2 linked regions of the Caenorhabditis elegans genome follow. The protein of the gene in region 1 interacts with the protein of each later gene in a pairwise test. Each region holds a gene or a part of one and is shown in the gene's direction. Other genes may lie near its edges.

What was found. Proteins that work in one complex are often made in the same cells at the same time.
Region 2: the proteins of efa-6 (region 1) and zyg-8 interact in a two-hybrid assay, tested with the Caenorhabditis elegans proteins (one study listed by BioGRID).

Annotation. Positions count from the first base shown.
Region 1 is NC_003282.8:12,611,709-12,616,639, reverse strand, and holds the start of efa-6 (Exchange factor for Arf-6), read left to right. Parts: upstream 1-1,915; 5' UTR 1,916-1,920; coding exon 1,921-2,070; intron 2,071-2,442; coding exon 2,443-2,590; intron 2,591-3,010; coding exon 3,011-3,250; intron 3,251-4,687; coding exon 4,688-4,840; intron 4,841-4,931. UniProt on the Caenorhabditis elegans protein: Guanine nucleotide exchange factor for arf-6. Involved in response to injury in mechanosensory neurons. Inhibits axon regrowth via microtubule dynamics, possibly by inducing axonal microtubule catastrophes.
Region 2 is NC_003281.10:12,059,879-12,064,746, forward strand, and holds the start of zyg-8 (Serine/threonine-protein kinase zyg-8), read left to right. Parts: upstream 1-1,834; 5' UTR 1,835-1,860; coding exon 1,861-2,047; intron 2,048-3,046; coding exon 3,047-3,953; intron 3,954-4,868. UniProt on the Caenorhabditis elegans protein: Probable kinase. Kinase activity may be involved in positioning of spindle poles in meiosis and mitosis. Plays a role in spindle positioning during asymmetric division of one-cell stage embryos.

The DNA of each region.
Region 1 (4,931 bases):
TCGCCGTTTTGTGTGCACACCTGTTAGTTCGACATTTTCTATCGAAAACTTTGCATTCGTGGTTGGTGTTGGCATCAAGTGGATTAGCCTATTAGGGTCAAGAGAAGAGGATCTCGCCAATTTTATCGAGTTTTATATTGCCAGTTGTTTCGTTGTGTGTCTCCTCGCCTTTCGATTTTACACAAAATCGCTAGTTTTACAGAAAACATTCTGAAACAATAGGTGTAGACCAAATTGTTTCGTACTCCGTAGTTTTCTAAGTCCATTCATCTTTCTGCGAGGGACCAATTATCCAATGGAGATTCTTCTTCGCCTTCGAGTTGTAATACTCGTTCCGTTGTACTTTCGTTTTTGCCGACGAGAGCACGTGATGGCTCATTTCGGTTTGATCTACGTAGATCTTTAAAAAATGCGGGAGAAGAGTCACATTTTTTGGGCAAAATTGCAGCATTATTTGTAGATCAAACCTTAATCGGAAAGCCTCGCACCACATACGAGAGCTAAAAATTGCTTTAGCTTGGCTTTATATCGAAATTGGTTTAGCGTCATCTATCTTGGAAAGTTTTCAGTATAGCTCGATTTTTCTGAAATCGAAATTGTCGAAAACTTTGAAAAAATCGTTGATCGCTATAATTGCTGATTCCTGTGCAAATTTCGATAGCTTTAATGCAACAAACTCGCATAAATAAGTTTTTCGTTCCAAATTCCACAAAGTATCGCTTTTCCGACCTTCCCACGTTTTGGAACGTCAAGAACCTTCTTGGAGCTTCTAGTTTCATACAATTCAGCTCCAAATCACGCTAATCTTCCGTAGAAACTTTATGATACGGGGGTGAGGTGTGAAAACCCTCCTTACCGCCTAATCACTTTCTCTGGGGTGCGTCGTTCTGGAGACAATATTTGTTAACTGACTGATCAGTGTGCGCGGCGGAAATATGTGTTCCATCCTTCCGCGCAACTGTCAGCTTTTCGCGAGATTGCTCAAAACGCACCTTCGGGAGTCGACCAGTTGTTGTCTTCTGCACAGCGGGGAGGAATGGACGTTTAGTTCCACACCAGGTCTCTCTCTCTCTCTCTCTCTCTCTCTGTCTCTCTCTGTCTATCTCGAATTTTATTATACAACACTACAATCTGATGGGCAAACAGGGAGGTGATGGAAGAGGAGGAGGAGGAGACGAATGAGGTGTGACGTCGTCCCGGTGGTAACAGCTGTGCAGAGTTTTATGATTTTGTTGAAAAGATTTGTACTTTTTCGAATTGAGTGTAAGAATCTAGATAATTCGGAAAAATTTGCTTTTCCAGAAAGCGATTTTATCGCAATTTCTAAAAATCTTTTACTGTCAGCACAAACTTTCAAACTTCGTAATCTTTGAGACTGTCGATTTACGCAGCTCGTGTACTCCGTGAGAAGAAGTGTGCATTTATTTTTTTATAGTTTTGATCTAAAATTCTCGATTTTTGGTGTTTTTTCGCAAAGCATCTTGTATCAATTTCTCTCTTATTCATGCTCAATGCTAAAAAACTTAAATAAACACCATTTTAGTTTATAAAATATTTACATTAAAAAATAAGGAAATTTGAAAAAAAAATACACAAAAAATTAGCGAAAGTGGCCCAAAATTAAGCATTTTAGCCCGAAAAGTTGTGAATTTCTTATAAAAAAATCAAATTCTCCTCCAAATTTTTATTTTTTAATGCTAAAATCAAAAGGGAACTTTTCGAATAAATTTACGGTGCTGAAGTGTTTTTTTGTTGCTTCCGCTTGTGAATATTTTGAAAATAAACTCACCTCCATCACGTGTTTATATAAACACTCTGATGGTCATTGTTGAATTCGTCATCGAAATATTATACCTCTTGACACCTTTTCTATACTTTTTCAAACGTTTTTTATTCTACAATCATCTCGTTTTCAGAGTGATGGCGAAGGTGGCGTCGTCGGGAGCCGAAGAGGCACTGGCCACCATTGATGGAGCCCCTCGCCGGAATGTCAAAAAGTCCGAGGCTTTTGTAATGTCCGGTGATGTGCTCATTTCTCTTAATCGGAACGTTTCGAGCACTTATGCAAAGGTTTGGATTTGATTTTTAGAAAAAATTAAAAATTTCAAATGTTTTTCTTCCAAAAAATAGCAAAAATTTTGGTTTTTGGAAAATGTATACAGTTGAACTTTTCTCATTTTTCCAGCTCTCGGTCATTAAAATGTTCCAAAGACCTTTTTGAAGAATTAAAAAAAAAACTATTTTTCAATATATTTTTTTTCTGAAATAATGCTCTGCGATTTGAGGCCTCAAACTGAAATTTCTTTTCAAAATTTTTTTTAAAAATTTTTTAGGCATAAAAGTTGTGGTTTTCCAATAAATTTAAAATGCCCTCATCTTTTCATCCCTCCCTCCTGAGTGAAAAAAAGTGTTTCTTCTTAACCTTTTCCCTTCTTTTTTCAGCTTCTCGGCGACCAACTGCCTCCAGGTACCACAGTTGCATCGAGCATTCACCCACATCAGCTGTCAAGAGCCACCGCCTCTGCGGGAGTTTCGTTTCCATCGATGAATCGAAACGGAGCGGCGGCCCAGAAACTGTCAAGACTTCCAGGTAACACTTTACGGCTTTTGCGAAAAAAATGTGAGAAATTCTCCAAAAAAAGCTGAGATTTCCGTAAAAATCGCTTGAAATTTTGCAAAATTAAAAAAAAAAGCATTTTATACTCAAATTGGCTTAAAAGTTATATATAATGTGCCCGAAGTTCCAGTTCCGACGAAAAATACAAAAAAAATTGTGAAAAATTTTTCTGAAAGCTTAAAAAAGGTGCAAGTGTCAGCAGAACAGCTTACCTGAAAACTTTATATTTAATTTCTGAAAAAATTCTCTGAAAACTCTGAAAACTATAAAAAAAAAGCTGAAAATTTGGAATATTCGGCTCAATTTATAGAAATCACTTGAATATTAGCTCTAAAAAATTAGAAAAAACTGTTTTCCATAATTTTCTATCTTTTAATTCCAATGTTCTAAAAGTTCCAGTTTCAACAAGCCAAATCGAAAGACGTGGTAGTTTGGCACGAAAAACGTCAGAAGAGTCTTCACCAACAGCTATTCGAATGCTTAAAACAGCTCCAATTGAACGAATGGAGAGCACTGATGTAGAGGAAAGTGAAGAAGAAACTGTAATGATGACTACTGATGAAAAAGAGAATCAGAAGAAACCAAATGAAAATGATGATGAAGTGATGGTTGTTGATGAAGAACAATTTATTGGTGAGCTTTTGAAATTTTTAAACGAAAAAAAAATGAAACATCTGGATTTAATTGGATGCAAAAAGTTTTCGAAAAGAAGAAGAAGAAATCTCACAATTTTTACGATTTTCCATTGATTTTTAACCCTTTTTTCTAAACAGAAAAATTGTTTTTATAAAATTTCTAGAAATTAAAACATACCGATAAAAACATATGGCTAATTTTTTTCAAAAAAAAGAAACGCTCACGATCTTGATGACTAATTGCATGTTTTTGTCCTGATAAATCAGAATGTTTGCAATTTGTTTTGCAATTTTCTTACCAAGTTTTTAGTCCTTAAAACACGGACAATTGAAATTTTTTTCAAATTAAAGTGTTTTAAAATCGAAACAACTGATTTTTCCATATTTTTGGATTAAAACTTGAGGTTTTATAATTCAAACAATATATTTTCCAATTTATGGTTTTTTTTTCAATAAAAGTGTTTTTTAAAAAAATAATTGCTAACCTAAATCAACAAACTAGATCACCAAAATATACAAAAAATGAAAAAAAAACTGATTCCCTGCCTCTGACACTGAAAAGTTTTGCGAAATTCTAAACTTAAGCAATATTTAGCCCTTTTTTGGAAATTTCCGCCCCCAAAAAACTGAAATTTTGAAAAATCTCCTTATGATGTTCGGCCGTTTCTAGCCATTTTCAGTCTACTTAAGTATGAAAGCCAAAAAATCGGAAAATTCTTTTAAGTCCCTCTACTCTTTAGAATAGCTTCGAATTGCACAAAATTCGAAGAAAAACCCGAAACAAATTTCATTTCTAGAATGCTTTCCCGGAGGCGATCGGCACAGTTATAATAGGGAATGTTTTCTGTCTCTCTATCTATCCTTTTTCCACCGCCACCACATTTTTTTCTATCAATTTCCATTCACACATTTTTATTTGCGTTAGCACCCTCCTCCTCAGGCCACCCGGTAGTACTGTGTTTTTCTGTTGTGTTGAATGTTCTCTCACTTGACTGCACACTAACATTTTTATCCGTTTAGAGGTTGTTTAGCACTCATTTAAGAGGGTTTTAGGTTGAAACTTGGGGTTTTTGCTTGAAATTTGAGATCTTTATGGAAAAAATCGAGCTATAAAGTGCTAGAAAACTTAAAATAGAAATTTAAAGATTTTATAAACATTTAATTTTAAATTTTAACCAACGAAAAGTTGCTGAAAAATAAGCTGAAAAACGCTAACAAAATAAATTTAGTTTTTGAAATTTGAATATTTAAGAAAAATCTAGATTTCTGTTAGAAAATATTGCTCTCTTATTTTGAAAAAAATCAGTTTTCCTGCCGATTTTTTTCAAAAAATTATAAAATACATTTTCCAAGAACACATCAACGTATTTAATTTAAATATTATTTAAAATGGCATAAATTTCGCACTTTTCACATTGAAAACTTTTTTGTTCAGTAGTATCAAACGACATGAAATCTCCGAACGAGGAGATCGTTGCAAAAAGTCTTCGTAGTGCAATGTTCACAATGCCAACTGATAATCATCATCATTCGTACAATTCGTCACCACAAATATCCACACTTTCACCACATCTTCGATCGAATGGAGGTAACCTTTTTTGCTGGATTTTTTTTAGAAAAAATGAAATTGTGTGTGCTTTTTTTTTCAAATTTTACACTAAAAGCTACCGAAAAATGTT
Region 2 (4,868 bases), on another chromosome or scaffold:
ACGGGCTTCTGGCCTTCCTCATTGAATTTTTCGCGCTCCATTGACAATCGCCTGCCGGACAACGCGTGGGAAAGTCGTGTACTCCACACGGACAAATACATTTAGTTTTACAATCGAGCCGCGACGCGACACGCAACGCAACGTAAATCTACCCCAGATTTGGCCTGGCCTAGTTCGGCAAAAAACTCTTCCATTTCAATTTATGGAGGGAAGCCAGAAATCCGTGTAATATTCTTATCACAAACCGCACCTTTTTCGGCGGAGACGCAGGTGGCGCTGCACAAATGAGAAGCTGTTTAATTGGCTCTGTGGTCCCTCCGGATACCCCCTAACTAATCCCTCGTCTATTCCGTCCCCCGGCTCTGCGTTGGCTCGCGCGCGCCCCTCCCGTCAGCCAAATCAACCCACAACAACACCCGTCTGCCCTTTAGCTCTTTCGAATGAGAGGAAAACGAGAAGCAGCTCACTGCTCACTGCTCTCTGTGTGCACGCCTAGTTAATTCCCACATTCGACATTCCATGCATTTTGGAGACCAATGCTCGCGGACAGCTCATTTTGGACAATGATTCGAATTGTCAGCTAGTCATAGCATAGTAAAATTATCTCCTTTTTTTTGGTGTCACGTGGCGTCTCATTTCGGTTTGATCTACCTAGATCTACAAAAAATGCGGCAGAGTTCTCAACTGATTTCGCATGGTTAAGAACGTGCTGACGTCACATTTCTTTGGGCGAAAAATTCCCGCATTTTTTGTAGATCAATCCGTTATGGGACAGCCTGATGGAAATTTTGCTTCAAAAATCTTTAAAAAATCGAAAAAAAAAATTTCTCAGAAAATTTGAATTTCCCGCCAAAATTATTTTAAGAGAAAATTTGAATCCTCGCCAAAACAAATTCGAAAAAATAAAAAAAAATTTCCCGCCAAATTTTTTTTTCGGAAAATTTGAATTTCCCGCCAAAATAGATATTTTCCGAAAATTTGAATTTCCCGCCAAAAAAAAATTAAAAAAATTTTGAATTTCCCGCCTAAATAGGTTTTTTTTCTCGAAAAAAAATTGAATTTTCCGACGAAATAGTTGTTTCACAGAAAATTTGAATCTCCCGCCAAAATAGATATTTTCTCCGAAAATTTGAATTCCCGCCAAAAAATTCTAAAATTTTTAAATTTCCCGCCAAATTTTTTTTCGGAAAATTTGAATCCCCGACAAAAATTTTTTTTCCCAGAAAACTTTAATTTTGCTCAGAAAATCTCAAAAAAATTTGAATTTTCCACTTTTTTTTCAGAAAAAAAAATTGTTTTTCTAAAATAACAAAAAAAAAGATTAATTCCCGTCTATAGCACTTGCACCATACCCGATTGGAATTGTCCTCCTCGATTTTTAGTTCATTTTCTGTCCAATCTTTTGATTTTGCATTCCTTTCTCTTTTTCATATCCAAGGCCCATTCCGGTTTGATCTACAAAAAATGCGGGAGAAAAGACACAAATTTCTCAATTGATTTCGCATGGTTAAGAACGTGCTGACGTCACATTTTTTGGGCCAAAAATTCCCGCATTTTTGGTAGATCAAACCGTAATGGGACGGCCTGTTGCCACGTGGTATATCCCCACGTGGTGTCAGGCAGTCTCATTGCGGTTTGATCTACAAAAAATGCGGGAACTTTCCCCCAGGAAAATGTGACGTCAGTACACTCTCATTCGATGCTAAATCAGCTGAGAAATCTGCGTCTCATCTCCCGCATTTTTGGTAGATCAAACCGTAATGGGACGGCCTGACACCGCTCCGTCCTCCTCTCGTGGTTGCGCCTAACTATCGCTAATTTGGTGTTTTTTTTCGGTGTTAGACTATCTCTACTCGAACGATGCCACAAACGTCGGCGTGGCAGCTCAACGACACAACTGCTAGACCACCACCACCACCACCACCACCTGGATCTGAAGCTGGAGGATCGGATGGAGCATCTATGAATGGAGCCAACACATTGCCACGTGTATCGAAGAGGGTTTCCGCTGCTGGAAAAACGTCGAATATTCCACGATTCAAACGACGTAAGAATTGAGTGTTTGGCTTGAATTTCCCCGTTGGTGGCTTGCTTGCTTCAGCTTACGGGATATGGTTTTTTTTAATGATGAATCCGTGAATTTTGCAACAAAAAAGCAGCGTCGCACAGAAAAAGAGGCGGAGCGTAATTTTGCAACCCTGCGGCACGGTTTTTTCTCCTTTTTTTCTGAATTTTTTTTTTCGATTAATTTCATTTTTTTTACAACCATGAAATATCCTCACAATCTAATAATAAGTAAATTGGGTAATACTTTCATTCGAAAAAAGACAAATAAAAAATAGAGAAAAAACCGTGCCGCAAGGTTGCGAAATTACGAAATTACACTCCGCCTCTTTTTCGGTGCGATGCTGCTTTTTTGCAAAATTCACGGATAGATTGTTTAATTTCAATAGTACTGAGTTGAAAACTTGAAAAAAGAGACATTTTTATTTGTAAAAAGCTATTAAAAAATGATTAATACCGTCAGACTGTTGAAAACGATTTTTCCGGCAAATCGACAAATTGCCGGATTTGCCGGAAAAAAATGGCCCCTAAATTTTCCGGCAAATCGGAAAGTTGCCGGATTTTAAATTTTCCGCAAATTGGCCGATTTGCCGGAAAAAGCGGCCCCTAAAATTTTCGATTTTTCTATTTTCCGAAATTCAGAAAATTACCCATAAGATATGATTTTTTAAAAATCTAATTTTGTTTATATATTCATGATAAAGAACATCTAAAAATAAGAACAATGATCAAAGTTTAAGCGAATTTTTAAAAAATCGAAAAAATTTCGAAATATCGATTTTTCGATTTTCAAAAATCGAAAAAACCGACACCCTTGATCGTTATCACTATTCGAAAATAATTGAATCTAAAGAATCGAGATCCTGTAAATCTACACTACAGTAGTCATATAAAGAATTACTGTAGTTTTCTTTTCGCTACGAGATATTTTGCGCGTTAAATATTTTTTTGTGTTCCCGTGTAATATAATCCTAATTTCCAGCCCATCTCCCTCATTCGACACGTCCTCTCTCCGCAGTCTTGACATCATCATCATCTCCAGTTGTTCATAGAAAGATCAGTCCATCATCATCTGCTCCATCAACATCCTCCGCACATCGTCGATTCTCGCATCTTCCTCAACAACACTTCCACCATCATATTCATCACAATCAGACCGCAGTGATCAGTGAAGAAACACTGACAACTCCACGAGCATCGACTCTTAATCTCAATCAGACAAGCGTCTTCCCAACGGCAATTTCCCAGGGAAGCATGCCGAATAGTGGCACGAACACTGCGGAAGCGTCAATGACGTCATCCGTATGTGCCATGGAAACCGAGGGAACGAATGGAGATGAGCTCGCAGAGTCCAGGGATATGGTCTCAGAAATGCAGCGGAGGTGTCGAATCGGGCCATCCGGGTATCCGCATTTACTGAAAGCCAAGCGACTCCGGTTCTATAGAAATGGGGATCAATATTTCAAAGGGATTCAGTATGCTTTACAAAGTGACCGGGTGAAGAGTATGCAACCACTTATGGAAGATTTGATGAAAACTGTAATCTGTGACTCGACGGCTCTTCCACACGGAATCCGTCACATTTTCACGATCGACGGCGCTCAACGCATCACTTCCGTAGATCAATTCGAAGACGGCGGTGGTTATGTGTGTTCGAGTACCGACGCTTTCAAACCGGTCGATTATTCGAGAGCCGCCGAGCCAAGTTGGCGTCTGACACTTGCCAATCGATACAATCGACACTTGGAGACGAAGAAGCTGGCGTTGAGTGTCGTAGAGCCGTGTCATGAGAATACGGATTTCGTGTTTCCACGAATTATCAAGGTTATTCGGAATGGGGTGAAGCCAAGGCGGATTAGTAGGCATTTGTTGAACAAGAAGACGGCGAGGTGAGAGCAAAAAATCGCCCCGACCAATCAGCGATTCGCTCCGCCGCCCACTTTCCAACCAATCAGGCGACGTGGGTGGAGTTCGAAGGTGTTGATTGGTCGGGTGAAGTCTCATTTTGAAGGGAATTCAAAAATGATTGTTTTTTTCGCGTTTTTCCTATTTTCCTAAGGAAAAAAAAATTATTTTTCAACCAAAAAAAGTGGCGGCGATTCAAAATTTTGAATGAAAAAGACAAAAAATTCAAAAAAAAAATATGCGAAAGAACGAAAAATTCGAATTTTTCTGCGACCAATCAGCAATTCGCTCCGCCCATTTTTCGCCCAATCAGGTGAGGTGGGCGGAGTTTGAAGATGCCTAAACGAGAACTCCCGCCCACTTCTTCAGATTGGTTCAAAAGTGGGCGGAGCTAATCGCTGATTGGTCGCAGATTTTTTTTGAATTTTTTGTCTTTTTTCTTAAAAATGTTGAACCGTCGCAACTTACAAAAAAAAAATTTTTTTTCATTACGAAAATAGGAAAAAAGCGAAAAAAACAATCAATTTTGAATTCCCTCCAAAATGAAACTTTACCCGACCAATCAGCGCCTTCGAAACCCCCCCCCCCCCCCCCCCCCCACTTCATCTGATTGGTTGAAAAATGGGCGGAGCAAATCGCTGATTGGTCGCAGTGGGAATTTGTCTAAAATTGGAAAAAATCGGTGTTTTTTGTTTTTTTTTCGAATTTTTTCCCAAAAAAAACACAAAAACCCAATTTACACTGCGACCAATCAGCGATTAGCTCCGCCCACTTTCCAACCAATCAGATGGAGTGGGCGGAGTTCGAAGGCGCTGATTGGTTGGTGAAAATTCGGTTATATTCCCTCCAAAAAGAGAACTCCCCGCCCACTTCATCTGATTGGTTGAAAAATGGGCGCG